Linked DNA regions of Rattus norvegicus. The protein of the gene in region 2 interacts with the protein of the main gene of each other region in a biochemical or structural test. Links are inferred from orthologs where the notes say so. Each region holds a gene or a part of one and is shown on either strand. Other genes may lie near its edges.

Region 1 (15,812 bases), about 34 Mb from region 2:
GAGCTCCAGAAGCTGTATGTGGCATTGCCTGGTAAATTAGGACAGTCACATCCTGGGAAGAGACATAAAATATGGCAGGGAGGAGACTTTGTTCACAAAGGAAACCATTTAGCATTGCTTAGCGTAATGAAAAATTAGAAAATTGGGCACATTTAAGAAAACGGTATACACCGTCACCCTCTAAACAGAATGGAAGGGCCATTTAAAATGTTAGCTGCAAACTTTATGGTACAACATGGCAAACGTTTATAATTAGAAAGGAGAAAAAACATAAGATACTGCATGTAAAGAAGTAAATACTTTAGGGGAAAGGCAGTAATGCCAGAAGATAATGTGCTCCTATTGTGAGAGCAGAATTAGGTAGGATTTTCTCCTCCAACATTTCCATAATGTGCTTTAGTGCTACTAAAATGAGTGTGTGTGTGTGTGTGTGTGTGTGTGTGTGTGTGTGTGTGTGCATGTAATTAGAATCGCGGAAAGAGGGAATGCAGATGAGAGTCCTCGAGGCTCCAGAAACTAGTGTTTCGTTTTATGAGTAAGAATCCCAGTCTGGACGGACATTTATTTGACTTTGCACCCGATTGACTAAACCAGAGAATAGCATCAGCGAGACAGCATCCTTAAGATACAGGCATAAAATGAATATCCTAGTAAGAGCACCAGTGGAAGGGGAAGCCCTGGGTCCTGCTAAGACTGAACCCCCAGTGGACTAGATTGTTGGGGGGAGGGCGGCAAGGGGGGGAGGATGGGGAGGGGAACACCCATAAAGAAGGGGAGGGGGGAGGGGGATGTTTGCCCGGAAACTGGAAAAGGGAATAACACTCGAAATGTATATAAGAAATACTCAAGTTAATAAAAAAAAAAAAGATACAGGCATAAAAGTATTTTAAAATATGTAAATTCCATTCTAAAGGATTGTGAGATCATGTAAAAAAATGAATCAAGGGGCTGGGGATTTAGCTCAGTGGTTAGAGCGCTTACCTAGGAAGCACAAGGCCCTGGGTTCGGTCCCCAGCTCCGAAAAAAAGAACCAAAAAAAAAAATGAATCAAACTAATTTATCATGGTCTCATCACAGTTTTTCATTGATATTCAATGAGGAATTGGTAGCATTTCTCCATTGACTGACTAAAAAATTCAGATGTTGATTAACATATTCCAACCACACAACCAAAAAAAAATCACTATAAAAATAGTAGTCTGCTTATAGAATGGTTTCTTTTTAATAGTGAATCGTTAAATTTTCTTTTTAAATTGTCCTTTCCAAAGGACTTCTTACACCAGATTTTTTTTAAAAAGATGTGACTGGCTTGGTGTAATTGCTTCAGAAATTTAGCCCTTCCTCTCTTTTTGCCCACTTGCCCAATAAAAGAGATATACATTATGAAAACAGAAAAGGATTTTATGGAAAATAATACTTGAACAAAAAAAATATGTTTTCCCAGTGTGGAAATTGCTTTATTATTAACATCTGGGCTCTGCAGACAAGTCAATAAAATACAGCCTCCAACACTGGGAATGGATGCTGGAAAAATTATTGATTTCATGGAATCCACAACACCTCCAAAATTTGAACTACCTCCAAAATGGATATGCTGAACAAACCTTTAAAATGAAAGGGGGAGGAAGGGAGGGAGGGAGGGAGGGAGAGAGAGAGAAAGAGAGAGAGAGAGAGAGAGAGAGAGAGAGAGAGAGAGAGAGAGAGAGAGAGTCCCTGTGAACCAGTTAACAATCCCTGCTGGTTCCCAGCAGCTGCTGACACAGCTCTGTAACTGTTGGAATCATTTCAGGGAGCGTCGGGTACAATAAATCAGCCTCCAATGTGACCTGACCCTTCCCTCGGGCAGGTCGGCAGGAACCTCCTCTCTTTTCCTTAGAGTTTGTGATGATTCATAAAAAATATGTAAGGATCTGAGCTTTCCTAGACACCTTGGCATGTAGGATTCTCCCTGATTTAAAGCCTCTGTAGATGAGAGAAACACCCCAAAGTGCAGCAATCTGAGTAACAGTCTTCGGGAAAAGAAAAACACCCTGAGGCAAGGCAGGATGTTTGTCAATTCTGTGCAGCTTTATTGAATAAATAACATGAAAAACACCTGGCTGTCACTTTATTTGATCCTGGAGCAGCCTAGAATTCCTAGACCCCTGGAATCTTCTCAAAGCCACCAATCGACAAGAATAGCGGTACCCCATCCTCCACAGTGGACGACTTCGCTACACACTGGAATTATTTGAGCAAATTTATAAACATCGGCACCTGGGTCTCGTCACCGGAGACTCTAGTGTCATGATCTGGGTGAAGCCTTGGCTGTTAGGTCTTTGAAAGCTGGCCAGGTAACTCTAGCTGGCACCTAGAGTTGAGATCTACTGGTATGGAAGTCTCCACCATTCTGTGTCTGTGGAGAAGGCTTCATGGTAAGGCGTTGTCTGAGGCATTGATAATCTGGGGCAGAGAGTGGGTATTCCAGGTTGGAGAAGAATTTAACAGTGTGCCATGAGTATAGTCAGCCTAATGCTGTCTTAACATTGAGGCTGGATAGATAAGAACAAGACTTAGAATGGGGGTCTAGCTTGACTAGCAAGAGTGCTTGCCTTGCACAGGCTCTCAAGCTTGATACCCAGCACCAATCAAGGTAAAGTACCACATACACCTGTAACCCCAGAAATCAGAAGTTAACGGTCATCCTTGGTTATACTGTGATACTGAGGCTTAGGATGCAAAATACCCTGTCTCAAGAAAAACAAAAATTAAGTATGGGGGCTCCCTAAAGAAAGACACTTATCCCCATACCCCACTCTCCTTCCACTGTGGGCACAAGGGCAGGGGATAAGCCATGAGTAGTCAGAGGCTAAGAAAATTGATTAACCTCCTCAGACCTTGGTTTCTTTACATATAAAACAAAAATTAGCCGGGCATGATGGCACATACCTTTAACTCAGAGAGAGAAAAAAAAAAAAAAAGCAGGAAAATCTCTGTGAGTTTGAGGCCAACTTAATCTATGTAGTGAGTTCCAAGCCTAAAATAAATAAATAAATAAATAAATAAATAAATAAATAAATAAATAAATAAATATAAAAAAGGTAAGTACTCTGGCTCCTACAATCCATCAGGAGAACACGCCCCTCAAAATCAACTAAGGAGAGCTCGAAGGGGCTCTCAGAGATGGAAACTACAATCATGGCGCCTTCATGGGTCTGAGCTAAGGCCTCTGCATATATATTATGATTTATTTTGTGGGACTCCTTACAACGGGAGTGTGGCATGTCTCTGACCCTTTCACCTGCTCTTGGTACCTTTTCCCTCCTACCGGTTTGCCTGGTCCAACCTTGATACGAGAGTTTGTGCCTAGTCTTACTGTAATGTGTTATGCTGTGTTGGGTTAATGTATCTGGGAGGCCTGCTCTTTTCTGAAGGATCTGGGGAAGGCTGGGAGGAGTGAAGGGAGAGGAAGCTGTGGTCGGGATGTAATATATGAGAGAAGAATGAATACATAGGTGTTCATACATATATATATATATATATATATATATATATATATATATATATATATATTAAAAGAGAGAAAGTAAGTACTCTAAAACGAATCTTTACAAAATCTCCAAACAAGTGTGTTTAAAGGCCTCAGTGTCTAGTATACAATAAAAGCTCAGATCAGAATAAGGCACTTTTAGCTTCATTTCTGGGAGATGAGCTCACAGGAAACTCCTTGTCGCTGTAGCTCTTACAATCTACACACACACACACACACACACACACACACACACACACACACACACACTGCCTCCATTATGAAGTCCCATCAACACTGCTACCTAAACGAGACCTGAACAAGGGTGACACCAATAGATGTGCTAACACTGAAGGGAAAAACGCATGAGGCCTCAACCCTAGACAAAGAACTACAGGTAACTAAGGAATGCTGAGAGTGGGGACAGTGGAGAATAATGTTCCCCAGGAAAAAGCACACAGTTGGTTCTCCAATATCAAGTGGCCAGCCCTTAAACATACTGTGTAGTATTTTTTTTGTTCCCGTGTGTGTGTGTGTGTGTGTGTGTGTGTGTGTGTGTGTGTGTGTAGCCATAATTAAAGAAATATAGTCCACACGTATCAGACCAAGCAAGGGGAGATGCATGGGAAGGGTTAGATGGAGGAAAGAGGGGAAAGATGTAATTATATTTAATTTCAAAAATAAAATAATTTTTAAAAAAAATTAGTGAGGCTAAAGAACTGGCTCAGTGGTTAAGAGCACTGACTGCTCTCCCAGAGGACCCGCGTTCAATTCCCAGCACCTCCATGGCAGCTCACAACTGTCTATTACTCCAGTTATATGCAGCCAATACACCGATGTACATAAGACAAAAATAAATAAATCTTTAAGAAAAAGTATAGGGTACTTTTAAACAGTATGAGATAATCTTCCCTGGGATTAGGTAGCTGGCACCCTCAGAACCTTGATGGGACATTATGTCTGTAGGATGGGATATTTGTGTTCACATAACAAAATTGGGCCAGGAGGACTTAAATCCATCTTTGAATACAACCACCTGCCTTGAGGCTTAATGGGAGCTAAGAATGCCCACCAGATAAGACTAGTTCTGTAAACACACTGGGCATAGAGCCTGGCCTAGCAGTTCCCAAGTCAATGATTCTGAACACATGATCAACACCCCAGAGGTAATGATTTCCATATTAGGAGACTACAGTGTATCACTGGGCCAGGTATCCAGGGAAATTAAACTAGAAGCCTCCATTTCTGTAGGAAAAAAAAAAAAACAAATAAGCCCACTTAATTTATTTTCTGGTCCAGGTGAAACGAACAGATATCCACAGGTGAGATAGAGACCGGAAACGGAAGGGAAGAATCTTTGCAGGTCACCAGACCAACCTATCAGAGGCAAGAGGGGAGTTATCTTGGGATGGAGGTACTTAGAAATCAAAGCATCACTTTCTTTTCAGGGGACTCTAGGGACCAAAACTATGTCTTTAAAACTTGTTGTGGGTGACGTTCTGTTGTTTTTTATTAATAACCTGGAATCACTTGCTTTCCTTGTGTTAAGCTTGACTTTCCTGCAACACAATAAAATTGGAGACAGCAAAAAAACACAGGGCAAAGATTCACAAATTTAATATTCTCCTTACTTTGTCAACTTGCGTTACGAATCTGTCTGTCAGACCCTATCTCCACCTTTGGAGAGATCTGTAGTCCATCTTCCAGGCTCTAGATAGACCAGATCTTACCAAAGGCATGGGTCCTCACAGACTCATCTGCACCTACAAAACTCCCAGACTTAACTGTGACATCATCATGACGGCTCTTATTGGAGAACATGCAAAGCCTCTTTCATGAGCAGTAATACAGTATTTCTACCTGACACAGGGATGTGCCAGGCTTCTGAACTGTATCAGGAAGATCACCTGCTAGTTTTTAGCTTCTCCTATGTTGGCTCCTGACAGTACAGCACCGTGTCGCATCTGCTGCTTAGAGGCTGCCATTTGGGCCAGGGTTAGGCCTAACCTTTGTACCAAATGTCAATTTTCAATTACAAAAGAAAGCTGTGTGCGTAGTTAACCACCCTTGGGTGCTCTGACCTGTGCTATGGCTCAATCCTCTGGATCTAGCCTGTAAATGAACTATGACGTCTCTTCAGGCCTTGCCTAAAGATTAGAACTAGAAGTCTCCATTTTCTGTATAAAAAGAAATTCTAAATAAGTCCACTTAACTTTCTTGTAAACAAGGCATAATATTTTTGCCTTGGTTTTAAGTGCACGTGTGTGTGTATGTGTGTGTGTGTGTGTGTGTGTGTGTGTGTGTGTGTGTGTGCGCGCATATCTATGTGCAGTTGTGTGTGCATGTATTCACACATGTGTGTAGAAGCCAGAAAACAATCTCAAGGATCATCATCAGGAACATCATCTACATATTTTGAAACAGTCTTCCATTAATCTGGTTCGCCAACTTAGGTCAGATTGACTAGCCATTTAGCCTCCTTGGTTCTCTTCTTCCTACCTCCCCAGTGTTGGGATTACAAACATGGACCACCATGCCAGGCAACTTTGTGTAGGCTCTCGGTACTAAACTCAGGTCCTCGAGCTTGCAAGACAAGTGCTTTACCAACTGAGCCATCTTCCTAGCCACTGCCTAGTTTTAATATCAAGGTTTAAGTAGAGCAGGGGCTCCCTGTGTTTCTAACTTGCTCTTTAAGGTTCCGGGATAAGTTTGATGCATGATCCCTGAAAAGCCCAGTGCAATGACACAGCATTGCCAATACCACTTAGAGTGACCAACATAGAAGGTTGGTATTACCTACTTACAAAAAAATAAAAAATAAAAAATACCAGCACCAACATTCCCAAATCAAAATCATTCTCAGCAGACATGGTTTTATTAGATTACATCTAACAACTTCATATATTAGGACAATTCACCAGGTACCTAGGAATACATTTTCTAAGAATATTACATCAAGGTATCTGCTAGAGAGGTAAATTGCTTAAGTTTAAGCACTATAGAAGTATTTATTAAGATTTTTTTAATCCACGCCGAATGCAAATACTACCTGTTAAAAATTCCCTGGATAAAATTATCAGGCCAGAGGCTCTCCACTAGACTGTGTGTACAAGGTACCCATAATTGAATTCTGAAGAACATATTAGCTCATCCCACATCCCTGAGGAATTGGGACGGCCTTCTATAATTAAGACATATCTCCTGGTTAGATTCGTTAACTTGAAAAGAGCATCACCCCTCTCTCCCACTTAGCTGAGTGTCAGGGTATATGGATCTGCCCTAATTGGACAATGGAGAATTATCTTCACTTGCATTTTTGCCTAAGAATATATTTCCCTAACTCTTGTGATTCTAAATGGTTATCAAAGGTCAATTAGGGAAATCGATATTCATAAATAATTTCTTCAAAGACACTCTGTTCGTCCACCTAATGATCTGAACTGAATTCTTAGCAAATCAGAAACACACATGCTGCCAACCTAGACAAAACTCCAACAGCACTATTTTCAGGGTGTGTAACATTTAGGCATGTAGTATAAAATCAACTAATAGTAACGGAGGGTGATTCTTACAAGAGCTTACTGTTTATGTAATCATATCCACCTCTTACAATGACCTTTAAATGAGTGAAATTATTTCTCTTTACTTAGAGGTAAGAAAACTGAGTTCAAAGAGGTCACATAATTGTAAGATATAAAACCAGGACATCAACCTGATTCTAGAACCTTTAAATTTAACCATTCTAGCCTATGCCTTCCCTAAAATAATGATTGAAGGAGCCCCTTCTCCAACCCTCAATAAAACCTTATGGAATGACTTTATTGTTTACCCAGTCCAGAAAAACCATGATAAAGGATGCCTCTGGGAAAAGCCAGAAACATTGAGGGGTCTGTTTCTATAAAGCAGCCAAACAGACTGAAACAAATGCTTTCCATCACTGGACTTGACTCCAGATACATGACTCTCAAAGGTCTTTAGAATTTTGTTCTCAAACTGGAATTCTAAAAGGGAGAGTATCAGAAGCCCACACCTGAACCCCGTGAATGACCAGCTATCTCCAAAGTAGGGCTGTCCACCTCAGAGAGACTCATCACAAAAGATTCCAGCAGCAGAGGGTAGGGTGGCTGGGATATGCTTCGGCAAGACAGTGCCAGTCAGCCTGAAGTTAGAGTCTTGATTTCAGAGGGTCAATAATAAAGTTAGTCATGAAACTGCTCAAATTTGTTCAAGCCAAAGGTAACTTTATTGATTCATGAATCTGGAAAGTTCAAGTACAGGTTTTATTCCAGAAAAGAACTGATTCTGAGCACAGTGTAGTCAGTGCTCCATCACTCTGGGTTGCCCAAAAAAAGACTTGCACAATGATTCCAGTTGACATGCAACATGGACAGAAACATTTCACAAAGCCACACCCATATATGAAGAGCTAGAGGTAATCAGCTGCTGAGAAAAGGACAATCCGTTTTCTTCAGGGATAGACCTCCTGATAGATTATCCAGTCTCAAGTGTTCAACAAAATACAAGAAACACTAAATGTAATCAGTAAGATGGATTACTGATAGATGATAGATAGATAGATAGATAGATAGATAGATAGATGGATGGATGGATGGATGGATGGATGGATGGATGGATAGATAGATAGATAGATAGATAGATAGATAGATAGATAGATGTGTATGTGCATATAAGGCTAATTATAAGACATCATGAATTCGAGGGAGAATTGGGGGGGATAGTAGAGGATTTGAAGAGGGAGGGATAGAAAGGATATAAGTACACCATTCAATATGACATTCTGAAACAAAAACAATAAAAAATTATTCTCCTTTCTGTGCATCTGGTTTCTCATCTGTGTGAGGGAGAAGGATTATGTCTAAAAATTTTTTAATTAAATACACATACACACACCGTGGGTAAGTCAGGTTCTCTTTGATAAAGAGTAGTGGGATGCACATGCTGGAAGCCTTACATTTAAATTCCATGCTCTAGTGCTGAGGACCACAGAGCAGAGAAGTGAAAGGCCATATTCACAAAACAGATCTACAACATCTGCTGGGGTTAAAAGGTTCATAAGGAGGGACAAGGGAGAGAATGTAATCCCAGGAGGTGCCTCAGGACTCACAACAGTCAGTCAAGGGCCACAGCTGCGGCTTGATAAACACATCACCGTGTGTTTCATACTTCAGTGCCCGCCAGTTCAAAACATTGGGGCTGAATACCCTACCAACATAGACTGCATTGATCTGTTCTGGAGATAGCACAAAGTCCCACATGTTCACATCTCCAATGTCTCCCACCAAAGACTGATTCGCGTCAAAGCCACCGCCATACGAGTCCTGCTCCTGCCCCAAGATGATGCTTGCATTTGTCCCCACAATGTAGCCCTTCTGCAGACTTTTCCGCACCCTGGGTTTCCCGTCAAGCCAAAGCTCTACAATTCCTGTAGCAGACTCCCAGGTGGCACAGATGTGTGTTGGTACCTCAGGAATTTCTGAAGCACTGAACAGTATTTCAGGCCCACCTACTGCAATACTAAACCCTTGACCCCTAGTCCAAAACAGAAGAATCTCGTTAAAGCTCGTCTTGGTAGCGTAAGAGAAGATGCTGAAGCTTCGGCTCACATCAGCGTGGGCATAGAGACACACAGTGAAGGCTTCCAGTGGCTTCTTTGACTCTGCTTCCAGGGACACATAGGCAGTAGCTGACACTCCGGGAAATACGAAGGCCTGTTTAGACATGTCTGTGAGACAGAAAACCAACAAAGTGAGTAGTTTCTCAGATAATGAAGACGTATCCTCCCTTACAAGTAGGGTTTGGGATCAAGAGACATCTGACCCTCTCCCAGGTTCCTTATGGAACACAGCTATACCTGATCCTGATCCTTGAATTCCTCATGTAAAATATTAGGCTCCCATCGTCCTCCCCTAGGGAAAAAAAAAACTTTATAATAGCTCCTACCTTCATGACCAAAAGCCTGAGAGAAGCTTATCGTGATCAGAAGACACCATAGTAGCTTCTCCATGGCTGTCGACTCTGCTGGGATCCGGACTAAGAGGACAGAGCTCTGTCTGAAAGATCAAGGGCAAGAAGTCCTGGATCCCCTGCCTCAGGCACAGCCCATCCTTAGATTTATAACTGTAGCAGATGGAGAGGCTGAACCACTTTGTAAATGATTTCCTAACACTGCCTCTTGGGGTAAACATCAGACCACTGGGAGGAAGGGAAGCAAAAAAAAAAAAAAAAAAAAAAAAACATTCTAGAACAGAGAAATCGATGTGGGTTATTTATTGCAAACTCCTGTGACCCCTGAATCACCAGTTTCTGTGTGACAGGAAAAATGAGAAACCTTCCCAAGGCTCCATTTTGCCTATCTATATTGAGAAAATAATGGGAAATTTTAGCTTAATAGATGAGCGCTCATGAGTGTGCATGCGATGGTTGAATCCCCAGGGTCTGCTAACCTCTTCTGGAAGCTGCTCCTTCCCATACTGGGAAATGAAGAAAACAAGTATTCCATTCCCAGAACCAAGAACAAACTTTCCCTGGCCAACTGCACAGACTTATCAGAGACCTTTGACTGAAGAGAACACCTGTCCTATCCCAAATGTACTATGGCTCAATCTCGTGAAACGGACTGGGTTTTTGTTTGTTTGTTGATTTGGTTTTTATTTTTTCTTTTTTTTAATGTGGAAGCATCAGGGAGAATTCAGAATGGTTAACATTTGCTTCTTTTGTCCAGAATCTAAGTGGTCCCTCCACACTGCCTAACAGTTAAGCAGTTTTCTGCTTACCTGAGTCTTCTAGTTGAATACCGTGCTCCTTCACCTTGTTCCTGAATCCCTCACAATCTCATTCATTCTTTCATTCCATTTATGAGTCACCCTCTAATTGAGAAATTAGAGGGAAAAATACTGTATCCCCTGAAGCAGAGAGCCATTCATTCAGTAATTCCGTTTTAAGATGGATGCATTCTCATCCTACCCAAGACTACTAGATTTCTCAGCCTCAGCTACAGGTCAGAAAAGAGACACTCTCTAGGCTGCACCTTTACAGTAAAGATTCATGACTTCCCTTTCATTCCTTTCTTGCCTTCTGGTGGGGGCTGATGAGAGAGAGAGAGAGAGAGCAATCACCTTCCCCATCTTCCCCATAACAAGCTGCAAGTAGAGGCTGGCACAGCAACTTAATAGGTTGAACCGGGGGTTGGGGATTTAGCTCAGTGGTAGAGCGCTTGCCTAGCAAGCGCAAGGCCCTGGGTTCGGTCCCCAGCTCCGAAAAAAAAGAAAAAAAAAATAGGTTGCACCAGTAAATGTTATCATAGAGCCATTGTTTCAACCCTTAAATATCATCTACCCAAATATTTTCTTGAAGAATATGCAAACTTATATTTTGTTAAGTCGCTGAAAATTGGTCATTCTCATATTGAAGCTTGGTTGCTACCACTCTGTATCTTTCCATCATAAAATCTACCTGCTTTTCTGACTCCTCATAAGAAATAAACAGTTGCACAATGCATCTAAGGTCAAACTTGCACCTTTGTAACAGGCCCAGATGGCCCAACACCCAATGAATGTTGCCACCAAGTGTTTCTTTCTGCTTTACGCATCATTAATTTCACCTTCATTCTATCATTTCCCCAAACGCCAAAACTATAATAAACATTGCATTTTAGAGAAAGAAGAGAAAGACAAAGGGAAAAAGAAGGAAGATAGAAAGGTTATTTGTAACCAAGACCTCCATTGTTCCAATCTCCCTCCTTAACTCAAGGATTTCTGGTTCTGACATCAATCACTGAAGAAGAAAACAACAACACTCTCTCTCTTTCTCTCTCTCCCTCTCTCCCAATAACCGATTTTTTTTCTGGGTTTTTTTTTTAATCTTATACAACACCTGACATTCGGCACAGTTCTTAACTCTTTCTAGAATTTTTAAACGTTGTTTTTAAAATGAACAAATGTAAAGGCCTTAAGAAGTGATTTCTGGCCCCTCCACTCCAATTTTGACTCCCAATTATGAGAAACAATCACATCGAGTCTCTGAACTTATCTGTTACAAGTGCCCTTACTGAACTCTGATCTTCAAAAGTAGGTTATTCACAAATCCCTTTGTCTTAATTTACATATTGCAGTTGGTTTGTGATATTTACACATCTCGAAGAGCTTAAGAAAATAGAAACACCTTTGTAGCAATCCTTGAACCAAAGACCATGGTTTCATACTGGCCATCTCCTGCCCTGAAACATCCTGGTATCTTTACATAGGAAACCTTTTACATGGAAACAGCATTTAAACTGAGCCACAAAAACTGAAGTAAGAGATTCAAGAATGTCTTATCTTCCTTTCCTGTTGCTATGATATAAAATGGCTGACAAAACCAACTTAGGGGAGAAAGGATTTATTTTAGTTCACAGTTCCAAGTTACAGTCCATCATAACAGAGAAGAGAGACAAGAGCTTGAGGGAATTGATTATATCACAACCATAATCAAAAACAGAACAATGGATGCACACATGCTTGTTCTCAGCTCACTTCTCCATTCTCATGCAGTTCAGTATCCCCTGCCTAGGGAATTGTGCCACTCACAGTGGGCAGCCTTCCCACCTAAGTTAAGATCACCCAACTCCCACAGATCAACTTGATCTAGACAATCCTTTACTGAGACTCTCTTCCCAGGAGATTCTAGATTGTATTAAGTTGAAAATTAAAATTAACCATCATAGAGACTAAGGGAATAATATAACATATTTACCAACCTCCAAACTTTATTTTCTTTTTTTTTTTTTTTATTAACTTGAGTATTTCTTATATACATTTCGAGTGTTATTCCCTTTCCCGGTATCCGGGCAAACATCCCCCTCCCCCCTCCCCTTCCTTATGGGTGTTCCCCTCCCAACCCTCCCCCCATTGCCGCCCTCCCCCCACCAGTCTAGTTCACTGGGGGTTCAGTCTTAGCAGGACCCAGGGCTTCCCCTTCCACTGGTGCTCTTACTAGGATATTCATTGCTACCTATGAGGTCAGAGTCCAGGGTCAGTCCATGTATAGTCTTTAGTTAGTGGCTTAGTCCCTGGAAGCTCTGGTTGCTTGGCATTGTTGTACATATGGGGTCTCGAGCCCCTTCAAGCTCTTCCAGTTCTTTCTCTGATTCCTTCAACGGGGGTCCCGTTCTCAGTTCAGTGGTTTGCTGCTGGCATTCGCCTCTGTATTTGCTGTATTCTGGCTGTGTCTCTCAGGAGCGATCTACATCCAGCTCCTGTCGGCCTGCACTTCTTTGCTTCATCCATCTTGTCTAATCGGGTGGCTGTATATGTATGGGCCACATGTGGGGCAGGCTCTGAATGGGTGTTCCTTCAGTCTCTGTTTTAATCTTTGCCTCTCTCTTCCCTGCCAAGGGTATTCTTGTTCCCCTTTTAAAGAAGGAGTGAAGCATTCACGTTTTGATAATCCGTCTTGAGTTTCATTTGTTCTAGGCATCTAGGGTAATCAAGCATTTGGACTAATAGCCACTTATCAATGAGTGCATACCATGTATGTCTTTCTGTGATTGGGTTAGCTCACTCAGGATGATGTTTTCCAGTTCCAACCATTTGCCTACGAATTTCATAAAGTCGTTGTTTTTGATAGCTGAGTAATATTCCATTGTGTAGATGTACCACATTTTCTGTATCCATTCCTCTGTTGAAGGGCATCTGGGTTCTTTCCAGCTTCTGGCTATTATAAATAAGGCTGCAATGAACATAGTGGAGCACGTGTCTTTTTTATATGTTGGGGCATCTTTTGGGTATATGCCCAAGAGAGGTATAGCTGGATCCTCAGGCAGTTCAATGTCCAATTTTCTGAGGATCCTCCAGACTGATTTCCAGAATGGTTGTACCAGTTTGCAACCCCACCAACAATGGAGGAGTGTTCCTCTTTCTCCGCATCCTCGCCAGCATCTGCTGTCATCTGAGTTTTTGATCTTAGCCATTCTCACTGGTGTGAGGTGAAATCTCAGGGTTGTTTTGATTTGCATTTCCCTTATGACTAAAGATGTTGAACATTTCTTTAGGTGTTTCTCAGCCATTCGGCATTCCTCAGCTGTGAATTCTTTGTTTAGCTCTGAGCCCCATTTTTTAATAGGGTTATTTGTTTCCCTGCGGTCTAACTTCTTGAGTTCTTTGTATATTTTGGATATAAGGCCTCTATCTGTTGTAGGATTGGTAAAGATCTTTTCCCAATCTGTTGGTTGCCGATTTGTCCTAACCACAGTGTCCTTTGCCTTACAGAAGCTTTGCAGTTTTATGAGATCCCATTTGTCGATTCTTGATCTTAGAGCGTAAGCCATTGGTGTTTTGTTCAGGAAATTTTTTCCAGTGCCCATGTGTTCCAGATGCTTCCCTAGTTTTTCTTCTATTAGTTTGAGTGTGTCTGCTTTGATGTGGAGGTCCTTGATCCACTTGGACTTAAGCTTTGTACAGGGTGATAAGCATGGATCGATCTGCATTCTTCTACATGTTGACCTCCAGTTGAACCAGCACCATTTGCTGAAAATGCTATCTTTTTTCCATTGGATGGTTTTGGCTCCTTTGTCAAAAATCAAGTGACCATATGTGTGTGGGTTCATTTCTGGGTCTTCAATTCTATTCCATTGGTCTATCTGTCTGTCTCTGTACCAATACCATGCAGTTTTTATCGCTATTGCTCTGTAATACTGCTTGAGTTCAGGGATAGTGATTCCCCCTGAAGTCCTTTTATTGTTGAGGATAGCTTTAGCTATCCTGGGTTTTTTGTTATTCCAGATGAATTTGCAAATTGTTCTGTCTAACTCTTTGAAGAATTGGATTGGTATTTTGATGGGGATTGCATTGAATCTGTAGATCGCTTTTGGTAAAATGGGCATTTTTACTATATTAATCCTGCCAATCCATGAGCATGGGAGATCTTTCCATCTTCTGAGGTCTTCTTCAATTTCCTTCTTCAGTGTCTTGAAGTTCTTATTGTACAGATCTTTTACTTGCTTTGTTAAAGTCACACCGAGGTACTTTATATTATTTGGGTCTATTATGAAGGGTGTCGTTTCCCTAATTTCTTTCTAGGCTTGTTTCTCTTTTGTATAGAGGAAGGCAACTGATTTATTTGAGTTAATTTTATACCCAGCCACTTTGCTGAAGTTGTTTATCAGCTTTCAAACTTTATTTTCTACTACCATACACAAACTTCAGATTTTTGTTTGAACCCCTCTAACCACAGTAGTTCATTTTTTGTAAATCAATATATTTATACTCCAAATCTTTATTGTTCTGCCAGTCAAAATTCTATAGATTGTAACAATTCATTGTTTTATTCACCCCATTGACCTAATTAAGTCATGAATAAAGCCATATTTCCCACTTCCTAGTCACCAGTAGAATTATCAGCTTAACCAGAAAATTATTGCATTTGTGCTCATAATGTATTACTATACTAATTCTACTACTTGTACAAACTGCCTAATAAAATAATCTATAAAAATATTGCTTCTAAGGCCATTTTACTTTAAGCAATTGAGTTTGAAGGTTTATAAATAAGGTTCTAAATAAGGAAATTATATACTTGGATGAGTGTTTCTAAATTTTAATGGAAGAAAATATAAAGGTTGTATCAAGGTGAGAGAGATTATAAATTCATAGACTTAATGGACTTTACATCAATTTCACCACGACAAATGTTATGAACTGCTCTAAAGACCATGGACTAAGCCATTAGCCAAACAAGTTAAGGTAAATGTGACAAGGGTCAGAACTAGGCAGGAGCAGTTAAGATCTCAGGGGAGACAGACTTGAGAGACGTGCTGGAACCACTGAGGAGAATGGAAACCTGACTAAATGCAGAGTCATCAGAGAGCAATGTATGAAGACTTCTATCACTTACATATCAAGCATTATGCAAGTGGGGCCAAAACAGATTGTTGGGTCACACCTAGATCAGTGGCTTTCACTTATTGGTGATTAGTGTCTAGCCCAAGCTGGGCCACCAAGGCAAAATAAAAAAATAAATATGCGAATTGACTCATACAAATAAGACTGCATATGCCTCTTATGAAAAATGAGAAAAAAATCACACCCTTTTACTTATGGATAACAGTACTATCCTCTCTTTTGTTGTTGTTGCAACCCAAAAATCAGATTTATTTGTTAAATTCTCAATCCACAATACATCTGCACAATAAACTCATAACCAATTGATAAAGATATAAACTGCCCTCCTAGATAAGATGAATTTACCTATAGAAATCCACCCCTTAAGAAATATTCATATCAGCCTGTATCTATGTAGAGATGCATGG
Region 2 (15,996 bases):
TCTGACTAACTCCTATGCAGCATCCGTAGCCTATCTACTTGAGGCTCCATGCCTGTCCTTTGAGCATACTGGAGAGAGAAGATTGTGAATTGAGAGCTTTGTCTGACTTTTCTCAGAGAAACAACATAGAACTAAGTCAGCAGAACATCTGTATCCAGTTACCGTCACCCTCACCCTCTCCTGTTCCTGACCCATTTTCCCATTCCAATTATTATTTCATGTTATTTTTTAAGTTAATATATGAAGTATTATATTATATTTTATATTATATTATAGTGAGGCATTTTTTTCTTCCAAGACATAGTTTTTCGTGTAGGCCTGACTGTCCTCGAATTCACTTTGTAGATTAAGCTGGCCTTGAACTTAGAGAACTGCCCTGTATTTTCTTCCCTCATACAGGGACTATGGTGTGCCACCATATCCAGCCTTTTTTATGACTTGTAAAAACAGTTTTATTTTCTTCTCTTCACCTTTCTACCCTGTCTCCCTCCTCTGTCTTGGTCAATCCACTTGTGTTTTTCATGGTTCCCTTCCTCCACGGTTCTTTTTCCACTTCTAGTTCCATGTCTTCTATCCATAAGTCACACACACACACACACACACACACACACACACACACACACGTCATATTAAACAAAGATATATGCAGTATATATAAAGTATATGTATTAAAAACTAGAATCAAAATGTGAAGGAGAGCATGCAGAGTTTGTCTCCCTGTGAGTCTGAATTCATCAATTTTTCCTATAAATTTCATAATTTTTTGTAGCTGAACAAAAATTCATTTTGTGTATACAGCACATCTTTTCAACTTCAGTTTTCTGCTTTAGGAACTTTTTAAAATCTGAGTCATAATAGTTTATAAGATGAGCTACTGTATGTGAATATTTCAATACACTGTTCATTCTTTTCCTCTCCACTAAATGACAACCTTTTGGAAAGTATTATATTGCGCAGTACTTAAAAGTTATTCAAAAGGGATTGTGAATAGAGGAGAGAGCGAACGCAAAAAAGACTGTAGGAACTTTCCCACAGTGTACACCCATATAGTCAATAGGGCCACCAACAGCTGAGAGTGGCAAATGGGAAACTTAAAAGACAAGACTTGGAAAAAGGAAAAGAAAGAGACAACTTGAGGGAAAAAAAAGAGGAGGAAAAGGAGGAGGAGGCAGTGGCAAGAGCACCACTGTCTGGTGGAGTTGAATGCCTGTTGCATGCACTGAAAGTTCTCTACAGAGTTTGCACATCTGTCTATGTTGCGGTTTTTGAAGTCTAGAGTCACTTGAATTTAGCTCGAAGTATAAAAGTTCCCTCGGAACCTTTGAAGGGGTGTTTCTATAATCGTCCTCTATCTATCCCATTTCCAGTTAACACTCTGTGAGAAACTAGACTTTCTAAGTGAAAATGTCAAAACAAAAGTGTTCTGTCAAATCCGTGTGTTCTTTTTATTATTTCACGGTTGGAATTTTTTTCTGTTTAGTTGCTTGACTTTATCTGAACCAGACTTTTTTTTTCTTCTAATTTTAAACCAAAAAAAAAAAGTAACATTTTTTTTCCCAATTACTTTATCTGTTTTTCATGTTTTGTGCTCTGAGAAAAGCTAAAGTTAACATCAGTCAACTGAGCGTTTGAGGATTTGGTGGACAGCATCTGCCTAAATGTCGAGAGGTAGAGGTAGTGTGTGTGTGTGTGTGTGTGTGTGTGTGTGTGTGTGTGTGTGTGTGTGTGTGTGTGGAGAGAGAGAGAGAGAGAGAGAGAGAGAGAGAGAGAGGAAGGAGGGAGGGCTGAGGGAGAGAGTGAGGGAAGGAGAGAGAGAAGGAGGAAGTAAAGACTAACAATCAGAGTCAGGAAATAAACATGGATTAATTTGGAAGGGGAGAGAGAGTTCAAAATTGAGCAATCTAAGGACAAAGAGGCAGACTATTTACTCTGTGGCAGTTCCTACCTTAGAAAAATTCCGCTTTGCACTACTTAAATGGTTTAGTTTTAAATAGCATCCTGGCAAAGGGCATGCACATTCCTAGAACATGACTGTGCTGATGATAAGCAAGGCTTGTTTTCACTGACCACCTTCACCCTGCCTGCGAGCAACTTCTCCACCCTTTGTCACCTGTTACAGCATTTCATCCTAGGAAGCTTCCTGTCTCAGAATGTCTTTGGTCTATTTTGTCCCTTACCATTTTCCAGTTCTATCCTCTATCAGTGAAATTTCACAGTAAATTACACATAATAGCACTAAATTTAACTATGTGGTCCCTTACACATAAATAACAGGTTGGTTGAGTTTGTGGTACGATAAACATGTCAAATACTTTAAGAGTTGCATGAAAGAAGACACTGAAGACAATTGGGGCACAATGCCAAGTAACATGATTTAGGGAAATATAATTCTATCCTGAAAACATGTGTTGTAGGGATAGAGGTTACTTGCTCCACTGACATTAATGCCTAATTTAGGTAATAAACTAGTAGTGCCCTAGTGTCTAGTTTACATAATGATCTCTAATACTCATGTGCATCTACTAGGGTGGATTTAAGCAAGTGTGATAGAAGGTGGCATACATGGACCTCTGACCTCTGGGGCCTGGGAGAGTACAACCGAGAAGCTTAATAAATATGCTAGACTGTGTGAAGAACCTTATCAAACAGGATGCAAGTTCTTTCAACCTGACCTCTTTTAGACTCTTCTCAAAATTCAAACTCAAGGAAGAATTTCAATGTTGACATCTCTGTCCCACACCTGATTATTCAATCCAACCACTTTCCTTAAAGAAATGTGGGGATCTATCTATGCACTGCCTCCATGGTGTGTGTGAAAAAGATTACTGTTCCAATTTCAAGGTTCAGAAAAGGGAGGCTACGAGGATGTTGTTTTTTTTTCCTCAATGGGAGAAACGAAACAACTGCAATGGATTCGGTTTGTGCTGTTTGGTTAATGGAAACTTAGGACTTTGCAAGTAGGTACTATTAATGGCAATAGGTGGTTTGGTTGACATTGTGAATTCCTTCAGTTTTGTCCCAAACAAGAAAGCCAAAGAAATACCAAAGATAGTCAACTTCAGAGTTTTCAGATGTCTTCTGGCTTTGAAAACATTATGATTTTAAAAAAAGAAAGAAAGTAAACATTATGCTCACAGTAGAGACTGCAGCAATAAATCCAAATATTTATTATAATTTGAAATACAAGAAAGGTTTAAAAGTCCCGGTTTGTCCTGTGACATGTTTATAAATTTTTGCTGTGATAAAGGAGCATAAAAGCAAGATACCGAAATTGGTTTTCTGTGTCAATGAAAGCATTGAAGACATGCAGACATGTATTTTCTCTTTGTAAATCCACACGTTATTTTTTAGTTTACCACCAAAATTTCCATTTCTTTTTTATTCTTATTTCTTTTATATTTTTTAGATTATAATCTAATTACATCATTTCCCCTTTCCTCTTGTCTCTCCAATACTGCCCACCTATCTCCTTTACTTTCTTTCACCCCATGACTACTTATTTTCATAACTATAATTATATGCATATATGCATATACATATATATTTCTAAATATAACATGATCAGTATATATAATATTACTTATATGTATGTTTTAAAGTTGACCTTTACTTTTTGGATTTTTTTTTATTTTCTGTCTAGAAAAAGAGAACTATAGGTTGCTTCTTTAGAAGGTTTTGATATTTAAATATTTTTCCATTTTTCTAAGGAAGGTCCAGCTATTGCTGTCAATTTAGTTGAATGAAAGCAACAGAAAATCTGCATAAGATATTCTTGATATTGAATTTCAGTACTAGGGAGGCTAAGGCCAGAAGACTAGGAGTTTAAGGACCAGCATGGGCCAAACAGGGGGACTCTATCTCGAAGAACTAAAGTAATTGAAGACAAAGGACAGCAGTGATACTACTGACAGAACTCTGTGTATGCAGTACTGTATGTGACAATACATACACAGTGACGCACATATCACTTCTGTATTGCAACTTGCTGCATCCGTCTTCATTCAGTCACTTGGGACATGTGAAACCTTCATATTCAATATGGCTAAGGCCAAAGGAAAAGCTGTAGACATGGTTTATAGTTAAGATGTGGTGAACGCTGCAGAATCAGCTGCTTTCAACTTTGGACACAGAGTGAAGGGAAAAGTAAGACACACTCCATATTAATTCTTTTTCTTAAGGAAAAGTATAAATATCTTACATTGAATCACTTGACTTTTTGACATAATATAATATCATTTTACATAAAAGAATAATTAACTTTTCTCTAAATTTCCCCCAAAGCAACTATTATTAACTCATAATTAATGTATATAACATCAATTTTTCCACATCAATGTTAAACTAAGTTTGAAAAAATCATATACTTAAAACATTATAGAATTAAACCAATTCTCCATTCTATGATTAAAGTCTCTAAGCCTGAAAGGACCTTTTTGTCCTTTAAACCTCCAGGATTAGAAAACACTTATCTCCCCAGAAAGCACGCAGTGGTTATTTGGTTTTGTTTCAGCACAGGTTTAATTGGTTCATTTCAGCAATCCTGGGCTGCGGCCTAATTTCATACAATATTCAATTGTGAGAGTAAAATGCTTGGAAAGCTTGGGTATAATCCATTCCCCAGAACTGAAATTATACGGCTCAACCAAGGAACTCTCTTATGTTACAGGTTGTCCTGTAAATCTGACCCAATTCTGATCAGCGTGTGGTTTTGCAGGAAGCACCATTGACTGTTCTTGGCAGCTAGAAGTGTGAATACAGTCAAGCACTGCACTAAAAAGATATGAGAAAGCCCTTGGCAAGTAGAAAAGGGGAAAAGGAGAGGGGGGGGACAGAGAGAGAGAGAGAGAGAGAGAGAGAGAGGGAGGGAGGGAGGGAGGGAGGGAGACAGAGAGAGAGAGAGAGAGAGAGAGAGAGGGAGGGAGGGAGGGAGGGAGACAGAGAGAGAGAGAGAGAGAGAGAGAGAGAGAGAGAGAGAGAGGGAGGGAGGGAGGGAGACAGAGAGAGAGAGAGAGAGAGAGAGAGAGAGAGAGGGGCACGGAGGGAGGGAGGCAAACAAGCTGGGTTCATAGTTCTTCTTTTGGTTATTATTCTTTAATTATTAATAGTGGAGTTTAAATTTTTTGTTATGGTTATTATTTTCTTTTAATTTGAGTGGGTGTAACATACAGTTGCCATGCCTGTATGAGGAAACTGGAGGACAGTCTGTAGGAGGCTTTTTTTCCCCCTTTCACCAGGTGGGGCCCATGAATTGAACTCAAGTAGCCAGGTTCTTTGCCAAGCAAGATCATTATTGTGTTTACCGTTCCTGCTGGCCCAGCTAACATTGGTTTTAGATGAATGTTGATCTTTATCAGGGCAGAAAATACTTATGAAATCTTTTCTTCCCTGTTTCAGAAAGCCTAATATGAGAGCATTTCACAAACTTTTTTTTTTTAAATCAGCTTAGTAGCCAGCATCTAATAGAATAGAAACAGGAGCAAACATTGCAGCATATACATAATTGTTTTAATTGATCCAAGCTCTTCTGCTGAAATTCCTCTTAAGTTGATAGACTGATTAAATTGTTTACATTTGAGATAGACACGGGTCACCAGCCAAGCTAAGACTAAAGTGGGAGTACTGTGTCCACTGAAAATCCATGAAACTTCTCCCATCTGTTTACATTCATTTTGTGGAGACCATGAGGTTACCCTACATAATGATTTAGAAACTAAACTCTCTTTTCATCTGTGAATGAAAGGAAAATCCCTGTGAAACAGTATCGGACACAGTGTAACTGCCCACCTCATCAGCAAGAACTGGCACCACATTTGAATACATACTGATGAAAATTCAAATCCAGCAATAACAAAAAAATCAGCTGACATCCATGGCATAAATGAGGATTTTTAAATCATTAGCGTTAAAGTATCACGCAAACATCGCGGCACTTCCTTTTTAATATTGAAATTCTGCTTTGTAATTGTGTAGACACCTTAATTCGATTTATATCAATTAAGACTTAAAAGTTAGCTAAACATAAAATAGTTCTTTCTTTAATCTTATATATCTTTAAAAACCTCTTAGTAAACATTATTATTCAAGTAGAACACTAAAATAAGCGATGAAAACATTGCCTTTAACAAAATAAAAAGTTTAGTTATGCTTGGTAATATCAACATTGCTTTAGAATTCCTGGCCAATATAATCACATTTCATTTCAGCAATACTTATATTTTCATATACAAGGAAATGACTGCCTTAGTCTATAAGGCATCTGAATACAAGACTCTTAAGCTAAAATTCAAGGAATAACATTAAAAAATATAATTGAAAATGTTTACTCTTTCAAAAAGTATAAAATACCCTTAAATTTTTTTTTCAGAATTTTAGTAAAAGATACAACTGAGAAACCATATCTACTCTTCTTATGTGGGTTGGTAAACATCCAGTCAGAGGATAATTTTAGTATTCTTTACTGAGTAGTGGTTACAGCAAAGCTTCAAATTACAATGCATTGGCTAAGAGAAACATTTAAGGAAGTTATTAAAGTTATGTCATTCACTTTATATAAAAAGTGCTAAGTCAGGCATGGCAGTCACTCTCACTGGTAACCTCAGCCCATAGGAAGCTGCTGACAAGAGGACTACAGTGAGCTCAAGGGTGTAGTGACACCCTATCTTAAACAATCAAAACACAAAGAAGAGTTGATTAAATGTTTATCCCACAACTAGGTACCCTTCCTAAACTGGGAAAGCAAAGCTCTTTCATTGGATAAACTAAGCAGTCTTGGGAGAATTTAAGTGAATAATAAAGTCAGACCCTGTTATTGTCATGAAAGAACTCCGACAGTCACATTACCTACTTCAAAATGGCTTCAGAAACAAACATGCCCCACACGTATTCACAGAAAACAAAACCAGAAACAAATCAGATCCGTCCAATGCAGGTTACATGTCAAATTTTATTTTCTTTTTATCTCATACTTGAAGGTCTTACATACGAAACTTTTAAAACCATGGAAATATCAGCTAAGTGATGTAGTTAGGAAGGTTTAGAAATAAGCCTGAAATCGATCCACCCATTTAAAGAAAAAAGTAAGTGCTTTCATTGACTTTGGATATTTATATATTTCTAACTAGTTTTACATATAGTACTTCAGGGACACTCATGAGAAAAAGAGGAGCCTGTATTTCCTGATAACTACAAGTTAAATGTCTATGCCTAATTATGGATTGCAAAAACATGTTTAAAGCACTGTCTTGAGTTTTACATCAAGCTGAACTATCAATTACAATAGTCAAGTGAAAGGTTCACGGTTTTTAAACTTACCACCAAAAGCCATTCAGTTACAGACTAGTAATTACCCACATTTTCTAGACTTAATTTGAATAATTGCTATGAGAAATATTATCAGCAAATGTTTTATAATGCGGCTCAGTCAGAAGGGAGAAAGGTGGTGGTTTTAAGCTTACCTTCTGCTACACAAACAGTCCATAATATAAGCCAAATAATTCTTGCTGACAGTCTCATGTCTTGGATCTATCTGGGAGCAGTTGACTCGAAGAGAAGTATGTGCTGTACCATCCAGTTCCTCTCTGCTATGAACTGTGGTTACAGCAGAGACAGACTTGCCCCAAAGGGAAGTTGAAAGTTAGTTTAGGAAATCAGGATTTCTAGATGCTCCACCCATGAGCGACTTCTGCAAAGTAAACTAAAAGGATAGACCACAAGTCCAGCAGCATAGGCGTTTGATCTCATCTGTTACTGCGCCCTGTCTGTGACCTGCTGGGCTGTTCTTGTAAATCACAGCTTGTTTTGCTTGGAAACAAGTTCACGTTTCTGGAAATGTGAGCAGGGGCTGGATTTCATAATCCTTGAAACTGTGTTCTACTGTGTACAAACCACAGAACAGAAAGCAATGAAGGCGAATTTAAAAACCATTGAGGGAACTTCCGTTAGGCAGTGTTTTTACGACCAACACCCTGCATAGTACAGAAATGTTGTCAAGACTGTCATGCTGAGGGATGGTGATTATGGGATTGGTTTTTCTAAAATTCATGAAATGAGTCTCCCAAGAAATTCTTTTTATATGTGTGAGGCAACTGGTCTGTGTCTCGTTGGCTATGAATGAATAACTCAAAAGATCCATCAATTTGACATGCTAATTTTCTAGCTTCTAGTTACGGTATTGTATAATAAGAAAGCAGAGGTGTGAAAAAGTGTCTGTAATATGCTGAATTGATGTTGAACCCAGGCCAATACTCAACTCCCAACTTGCTAGCCTTGGTAACCCCTCTGTGCCCTCCAGATTTCCACCTACTGTCAGTGTCTCCAAGAACATGGACCTTATATACCTGAACTTTGTGTAAGTGTGGAGGAAGCAATTTACTCCTTTGTTTATGTAGAGTCCTTCACTGAGAACTTCATCTGCTGGAGATGACTCCATATTGTTCATTTTTCTTTCTATGTAATATTCAATAGTTTGAATACATACAGCACAATTTTTAGTTATTCATGTGCATGTTAATGACAGATTCCAGCTAGAAAATAGTACAAGTAGGACCACTAATGTGATACAGTGTAGGGTTTGCTAACTGCTCTAGCTCAAGCATATAGATAAATTAGCTGAGAACAGAGCATTTAAGCATTTTCTTAAGTCCATAAGAACTTTCAGGAGTGAGATACTCAACCCAATGGTCTAATATCCCAAATCTATGCAGATTGGCATTTTCTGATGACTTGCTTCCTATTTTGTTAAATGTGTAGGAATTCAACTTCTAATAACTCATTGTAGTAGTTGCTTGTCAGTGGATGTGACAAGATACCTGAGAAAGCAGTTAAGGGAAGGAAAGATTTATTTCTGCTCACAGTTCCCAGAGAGAGCCTGTCAATCAGGGAAGAACAGCCCCAGGAACGTCTGGGCACATGGCAACACCAGTCCTGCTACGGAAAGCAATGATGAATGTTGCAAGGTTCACTCTGTTTTTTCTTCAGTCTAGGACCCCTCCACATGGAAGACATTAATATCAGAACAATTTACAAACCCTCACTTCAGAGTGCTTAATATTAATCATGTCACAAGAGCTTAATACCCTGAAATGCTCATCATTTTATCAAAGAAATTTGACAGAAGTTTTCAAAAATTTGGCAATAATAAAAACTTATAGGCAATACAAATCATGATGAACTTGTAATGACTTTTCTATCATTTTGCTAACAAGATACAAATATTAATAAAAACTGATAGAAGACATTTTTATTTTTTATTGTTAGTTCAGCTATAATAAAATTGAAGCTTATAATAAAATAATCAAAAATGTAGATAGCCAAAAAATGCAAAAGTTAAAGTAGCATGTGTCTTATTATGTAAATAATATCCATAGTTTGTTATTTTTTAACTTTCTTACTCATCATTGTTTACAGGTTCAAAATCTATTTTATTATTATCCGAGTACCTTTGGAAAGATAATTATACAACGTATCTCATGAAAAATATGCTGAGTATTATCTCTGATGGCTGTGGCCTGGGAAATTACATATTTACTTAGACATTTAAAATGGGACAAGATACCCTTTAATAGGCTAAGCTAGTATTTAGAAACAGATAAAGGGTCTGGAAGTACTCAGCTGTGAAATTCACAGTGGTATTCAAGAGACAGCAATGCTGAAGACACTCGGTAACATGTACAATTTACACCCACAATTGTTCTTTTTTTTATTTTTACTTACCAATTTTAAACTTATAGTTTATAACAAGTCATCTTTTACCTACTTAAGACTTTTTATCTTAATTTTAAAATTTAATTAATTAAATCGTTAATTTCATACATGAATACACTTTACTTGAATATCTACACCTTTCTCACCTCCAACTCTTGTCTTCTTCCTCTATAATTATTGTCCTGTACATATACAGATGTGTATATATGTGAACACTAGCAATCTGCTGAGTCTAATTAATGTTGCTACATATATATGTGCGTGAGACCTCTTAGGATTAGAAAAACCTATCAGAAAATTGGTCCTTGACGACAAGTAATTGCCACAGCCATCAAATACCTTAACTCTTCATCTAGTTATAGGGCCTTGTGAAATTTCCCCAGTTTACATTGTCCTGATCTGGTGTCATCTTGGGAAGTTTAGGCAACCATATTGTTAAATGTATAGGAACACCAATCCAATCTTTTCTAAAAGACACCATCTCAAAATAGGTCTCCTGATTCTCTGGACTTTACAAATATTTCTGACCTCTTATGGGATATTCCTTGAGACTTAGGCATAGAGTTTGCATTGTATGGGTATCAATAATACTGATAATTCCACAATTTTTGCATGTTGAGCAGTTGTGTGTCTCTGTGAAAGCCTCTCTCTGCTGTAAAAGAGAAGCTTTTTTGATGAGGGGTGAAAGCTGAACTTGTCTATGGGTATTTAGGAACAAATATTTAGAATATAGTTAGAATCTGCATTAATTTAGCAAAGTAGCAGTAATAAGTTTTCTTCTAAGCCATCTTCTAGTCATTATTCCTGGCTTGATTTGCAGTAACAGGCAGGGATTCCCTCCTTTTGATTCAGACTTAATACCAGTTTGCTACTGATTACTCTTGTGATGTCAGTGGCACTATTGTATAATTTAGTGATACCTTGATTGATTTAGTTGTTCTGAGTAACAATTGATTAAACATAAAAAGTACAGCAGTACCTAAGGGCATGTTATAAGGAAAAATGTTACATATAACCAATGTTTTGAAGAGAACTGTCTTAGTTATGATTTGTGAATTAATGTACACAACAACAGCTACAAGCTCTTATTTAATTTGAAGTTAATTAAGGAGAGAGTAGATGGTAGCTAACCATCATGCATCCAAGACAGTAAATAGCTCATGAGTGAGAATTGAGAGGAAGGAAAGAAAGTAGTAGAGTGGACATGACCAGAAGACTGAACCATGAGAAGAGAGATGAGGAGAGTATGAGAGGAGGACCAAAAGAGAGGGACCAAGAGAACTAAGAGATACCTAAGAGCCAAGAGACAGCCAAAAGCATGTATGGCTGAAATGACATGGTTTTATATGAATGAGTAGCAGAAGGAAAGCCAATGACCTGGAGTTTAGGATAGGGGGAAAATTGAGAAGAGCTGAGGGGAGCCACAAATATTGAGTAAGCCTAGAAACTAACATGTACTTTGGAATGCTAAAAGGCAAACACAGCTATTCATTTGTCTTCCATTCCCTTTGGTCATGACATTGAAATTAAGTCACAAATAAAGAAAAAAATTAGAAACCATAGCAAAAAGTGAGATAGTCCAGAGTCCATCCCTGAAGTTCAAGTGTTCTGCTCCCAGTGCAGAATAAGGGAAACTGCAGAAAGTGGGAACCAAAGTTTAGAACAAAAACAGTGTCTAGATAGCTATGATGAGTTTGTAGTAACAGAAGAGAGGGAGGCAGAAAGGGAGGGAAGGAAGGAGAGATGAGGAGGAAGGGAGGGAGTGAACAAGATGTAAAATGAGGATGATGCATACTGTTATACTGTTCCCCTGCAAAAAGAGGAAAGTGTAGAAACCAAAGGAGTCAGGAATGGGGCAGAAACTCAAAACCACAATCAACAGCAGAAACATTCTTAAGAAATTGATAGTTCAACTAGACAAGAATCCCAAAGTCCATGACATACATCATATAGGAAATTCTCTATTGTCAACAGTAAATTCTCTACTTGTCAACAGTCAACTGCATCTGTGGCAGGAAGACATATATGTATACACACACACACACACACACACACACAGTCACAGGCACAGGCACATGCACACACACACACACACAGTCACAGGCACAGGCACATGCACACACACACACACACACACACACACACATACACATACACAGAGAGAGAGTGTGTGCTAGGCATGGTAGAGGCAATGGTTCCTACATGGCTCATTCTTGTGACCTAGTATAAGTGTCATTGGACTGACTTCTGATCCCTAGTCTTCAGAATACCTCTTGGTAAAAAGAAGAAAAATTTTGAGTTAGAATGCCACAATGTTGCATAATATGGAAATCTGACCTGAACATTTGACTGCAGCAGAATGCACAGATAACTGCTAATACACATAAGGGATACGACAAAAAGAGCACACACACACTTGTGTCTATGTGAAAGACTCACAGAAACACCCAGACAGGAAATTATCAGATCCAAATGCTGGTGGTTAGACAAAAGCCATCATTCCAAAGGAACTTATAAGCCTTTCTTCCCTAACAGTGCCAGACTTCCCTCTCACTCACAGTAGGTAGAAATGGCTATCTGTGGTGCCCCTTAGCACACCAAAGCACATTCTAGCCTTCAGGTTCCCTCAGTATAACGAGTACCTGTTATGTATTTCAGAATCTGTGCTGGCATCCTGGCTCTTCACCCCACGCTCCTTAGCCTGAATTTCTTCAGTTCATGGTTTTTCTCTCTGCAACTTCTCATTTCTCCTTATAGCCCTGTTATATTTGGCTACGTGCTCTCTTTTGCCTTCCTCTCGTAGGTCTCTCTTTTTGCTCCTCTCTCTTAGCCCCTTCTCTCTTCCTATCTTCTCATTCTCTCCATCTTTCCTCTCACAGTCAAGTCAAGTTTGATGGCCATATCCATTTCAGTCTGCTACCTTCTTTGCTTGCTCTAAACTCTTCCAGCTGCCACTGGAGCTTCTCTTCCTTTATATCTACAATAAAAACTTTCTACTTAATCATACTTTGGAGTGGTCATGTTGTCAGTTTGTATAACAACCACATGGAGAAAGTATCATGTCTGACTGTACATATCCTACTACGTGGAAGCTGACTCTGCACTTGGACTTAGAAGGTCCAAGTTCTGACAGTACCTAAAGTCAGTTTTTCTCTCCGTGTGGTTCTTGAAATTTAGTGTGGTCCATAAGCACATGGGTTGAAGAGAGCCCTGAAGTTTCTACACAAAAGGCTAACAATGCATTCATCAAGGGCAAAATTTTTTATCTTTATTAACTTGAGTATTTCTTATTTACATTTCGATTGTTATTCCCCTTCCCGGTTTCCGGGCCAATATCCCCCTAGCCCCTCCCCCTCCCCTTCTATATGGGCTTCCCCTCCCCATCCTCCCCCCATTGCCGCCCTCCCCGCAACAATCACATTCACTGGGGGTTCAGTCTTAGCAGGACCCAGGGCTTCCCCTTCCACTGGTGATCTTACTAGGATATTCATTGCTACCTATGGGGTCAGAGTCCAGGGTCAGTCCATGTATAGTCTTTAGGTAGTGGCTTAGTCCCTGGAAGCTCTGGTTGCTTGGCATTGTTGTTCATATGGGGTCTCGAGCCCTTCAAGCTCTTCCAGTTCTTTCTCTGATTCCTTCAACGGGGGTCCTGTTCTCAGTTCAGTGGTTTGCTGCTGGCATTCGCCTCTGTATTTGCTGTATTCTGGGTGCGTCTCTCAGGAGAGATCTACATCCGGCTCCTGTCGGCCTGCACTTCTTTGCTTCATCCATCTTATCTAGTTTGGTGGCTGTATATGTATGGGCCACATGTGGGGCAGGCTCTGAATGAGTGTTCCTTCTGCCTCTGTTCTAAAATCAAGAGCAAATTTAAGAATAACCTGTGACTCAGTAAATCTTCCCCCTAGTTTCAGATATCTCTGTGGAAAACCGCCAGACAATTTGAGGATCAGAAGAAAGATGCCTTCAGTTGTGTCTTGTGGAAATATATTCATAGGCAGTTCTGAGTCCTAGCACATCTAAATTGCTAGATGAATCCTCACTCACCAGACACTCTCAGTAGTTCAGTAACCTCACTCTAACCTTTAAATATACTAAATTGTAAAATGAAGGTGTTCTCTTTTCCATGCAATAGAAAACCAAAGTTTGTGTGTAAGGTTTGTTATCATTTCACCTTTTAGGGGATTTCAACACAGAAATTGCCATGAATCTCCGAAAGAAGTCTTCACAGCAATAGAGCAATGACATCCAGGCCAGCATGGGAGTTGAAGCACCTTCATATTTCATACTGACTGCCATAGACTCATGGACATCTCTTAGTACAAAATGCATTCAGGTCAACCTCCAGAGTCTTGTAGGCTTATATTTTTGAAAAGCTACTTTTAATAAGGGTTTTAAATGTTTTAACCTCCCTTCTAGCCCAACATCCACCAGAGGTAGTGGGGAAAAAGGTTAACAAGGCAAAGGAGGATGTGGACCTATTTAGATATAGTTCGTTGGAACAAATCCAATCTCCATTGTCTGTCAGGATATCAGCGATTCAGTTCATGAATCAGTAGTGGAGTGGAGCAGAGACTGAGGGAATGGGCAACTAACAACCAGCCCAACTTGAGACCCATTCCATGGGCAAGCATCATAACATTATTAATGGTATTCTGTTATGCTTATAAATGGGAGCATGTTTTTTTCTGATAAGCTCCACCTAGCATCTGCTTCAAACAGATACAGATACTCACAGTCAAACGGTTAATGGAGCTTGGAGACTCTCTAAAGAATAGGAGGAAGGAATGCAGGCCCTGAAAAGGATAGGAACTCCATAGGAAGACCAACACAGTCAGCTAACCTCGACCCTTGGGGGCTCTGAGAAGCTGAACCACCAAGCAAAAAGCATATAGGAGCTGGACCTAGACCTCCCCATTCATATATAGCAGATGTGAAGCTTCAACTTCAGATGAAGCCTGAACATATGGAATGGAGGTTTTCTCAAAAGCTGTTGCATATCAGTAGGATATGTTCTTCTAGCTAGGCTGCCTTGTCTGTCCAGAGTGGGAGAGAAGTACCTAGCCTCTCAGAGAGTTGGAGTGCCAGGGGTATTCTAAGGGGGACCCCACTTGCTCCAAAGAGAAGGGGAGGAGGGATGGGGGAAAGATCGTTGGAAGGAGTTACCAGGAGGGCTCAGTGAGCAGAATGTCAAGTGAATAACTAAAAAACTAAATTTAAAAAAAAGAAAGAAATTGATTTTCTTCTTTCTCTATCCTCTCTGCTTCTTCTGATGCTTTCCTCCTAGTTTGCTAGTGATTTTCCCCAGAGTACAGCAGTGTATCAGTGTGTTATTATATACATTGTTCACAATAATAAATTTCTGAATCTTTTTCACCTTTGCAGATATATTTATCACTCCTATTTACCCCTCCCAAGGTTTATCACTTCCATGCCCCCACACACAAATAAAGACACTGAAGTTTAGAGAGACTTAAATAGTAGCTGAAGTTGCTGGTGGGATCTGAACCCAGTTGTTTGCTACCACAATTTTACATTTGTATAGTATGCTTACCACTTCCTGTGGTTTGAATGTAAAATCTCCCTAATATTATAATGTGCTTAACTGCTTTGTCTCTAGTTGGTAGTACTAGTTAAAGATTTTGAATAACCTTTATAAGTTGGAGCATTGCTAGAGGAAATAGGTCACCGGGTATGTTAAAGTTTTATAGACCACCCCCTACACACACATATTTCATGCCTTCTATCTACCTCTTGATTGCAGATACAATGAGAACAGTCTCCTCAAGTCCTTGTCCAAGACTCAAATGTAAAAATAAATTCCCCTTTCTTAAATTGCTTCTTGTAGAGTACTTGGTCACACATTGAGAAAAATAACTACTATACTTCCTTTCAAGTTCAAGTATATATTATTCCAAAAGTATAATATTTCAGCTGTGTCTCTGGGCAAAAGAAAATCTTAAAGATTGTCTAAGGTAATCTTTTACAGATATTTATATGTAAACAATCTAATAGTTTTCATAGTGATTCTGTTTTAATAAAATATAATTATATTTTATAAGTTAATTTTCAGATAATATCTAATAGATTACATATGGTAATACATCATAAAAGTAAACATTTCTTGGGAAAAATAAAATGTCTTTCCTATGATATAAAGCTAGTGAGTGACTGGACATAAATTGTTAATGATCATTTATGAGTTCAAAGTAAATGATTCACTACCCAACTGATATAGCCAATTACAATGATTTACATGCCATTATTCAGATGCAATTGAGATTTAGAATGGTGCCA

What was found.
Region 1: the proteins of Cfh (region 2) and Crp form a complex in vitro, tested with the Homo sapiens proteins (12 studies listed by BioGRID and IntAct, with this or other methods). The link is inferred for Rattus norvegicus from reciprocal best matches to the Homo sapiens genes CFH and CRP.

What each region holds. Positions count from the first base shown.
Region 1 is NC_086031.1:87,687,895-87,703,706, reverse strand, and holds Crp (C-reactive protein precursor), read right to left. Parts: upstream 9,646-15,812; 5' UTR 9,534-9,645; coding exon 9,470-9,533; intron 9,252-9,469; coding exon 8,623-9,251; 3' UTR 7,729-8,622; downstream 1-7,728. UniProt on the Homo sapiens protein: Displays several functions associated with host defense: it promotes agglutination, bacterial capsular swelling, phagocytosis and complement fixation through its calcium-dependent binding to phosphorylcholine.
Region 2 is NC_086031.1:54,156,963-54,172,958, forward strand, and holds the start of Cfh (complement factor H precursor), read right to left. Parts: upstream 7,562-15,996; 5' UTR 7,513-7,561; coding exon 7,455-7,512; intron 1-7,454. UniProt on the Homo sapiens protein: Glycoprotein that plays an essential role in maintaining a well-balanced immune response by modulating complement activation.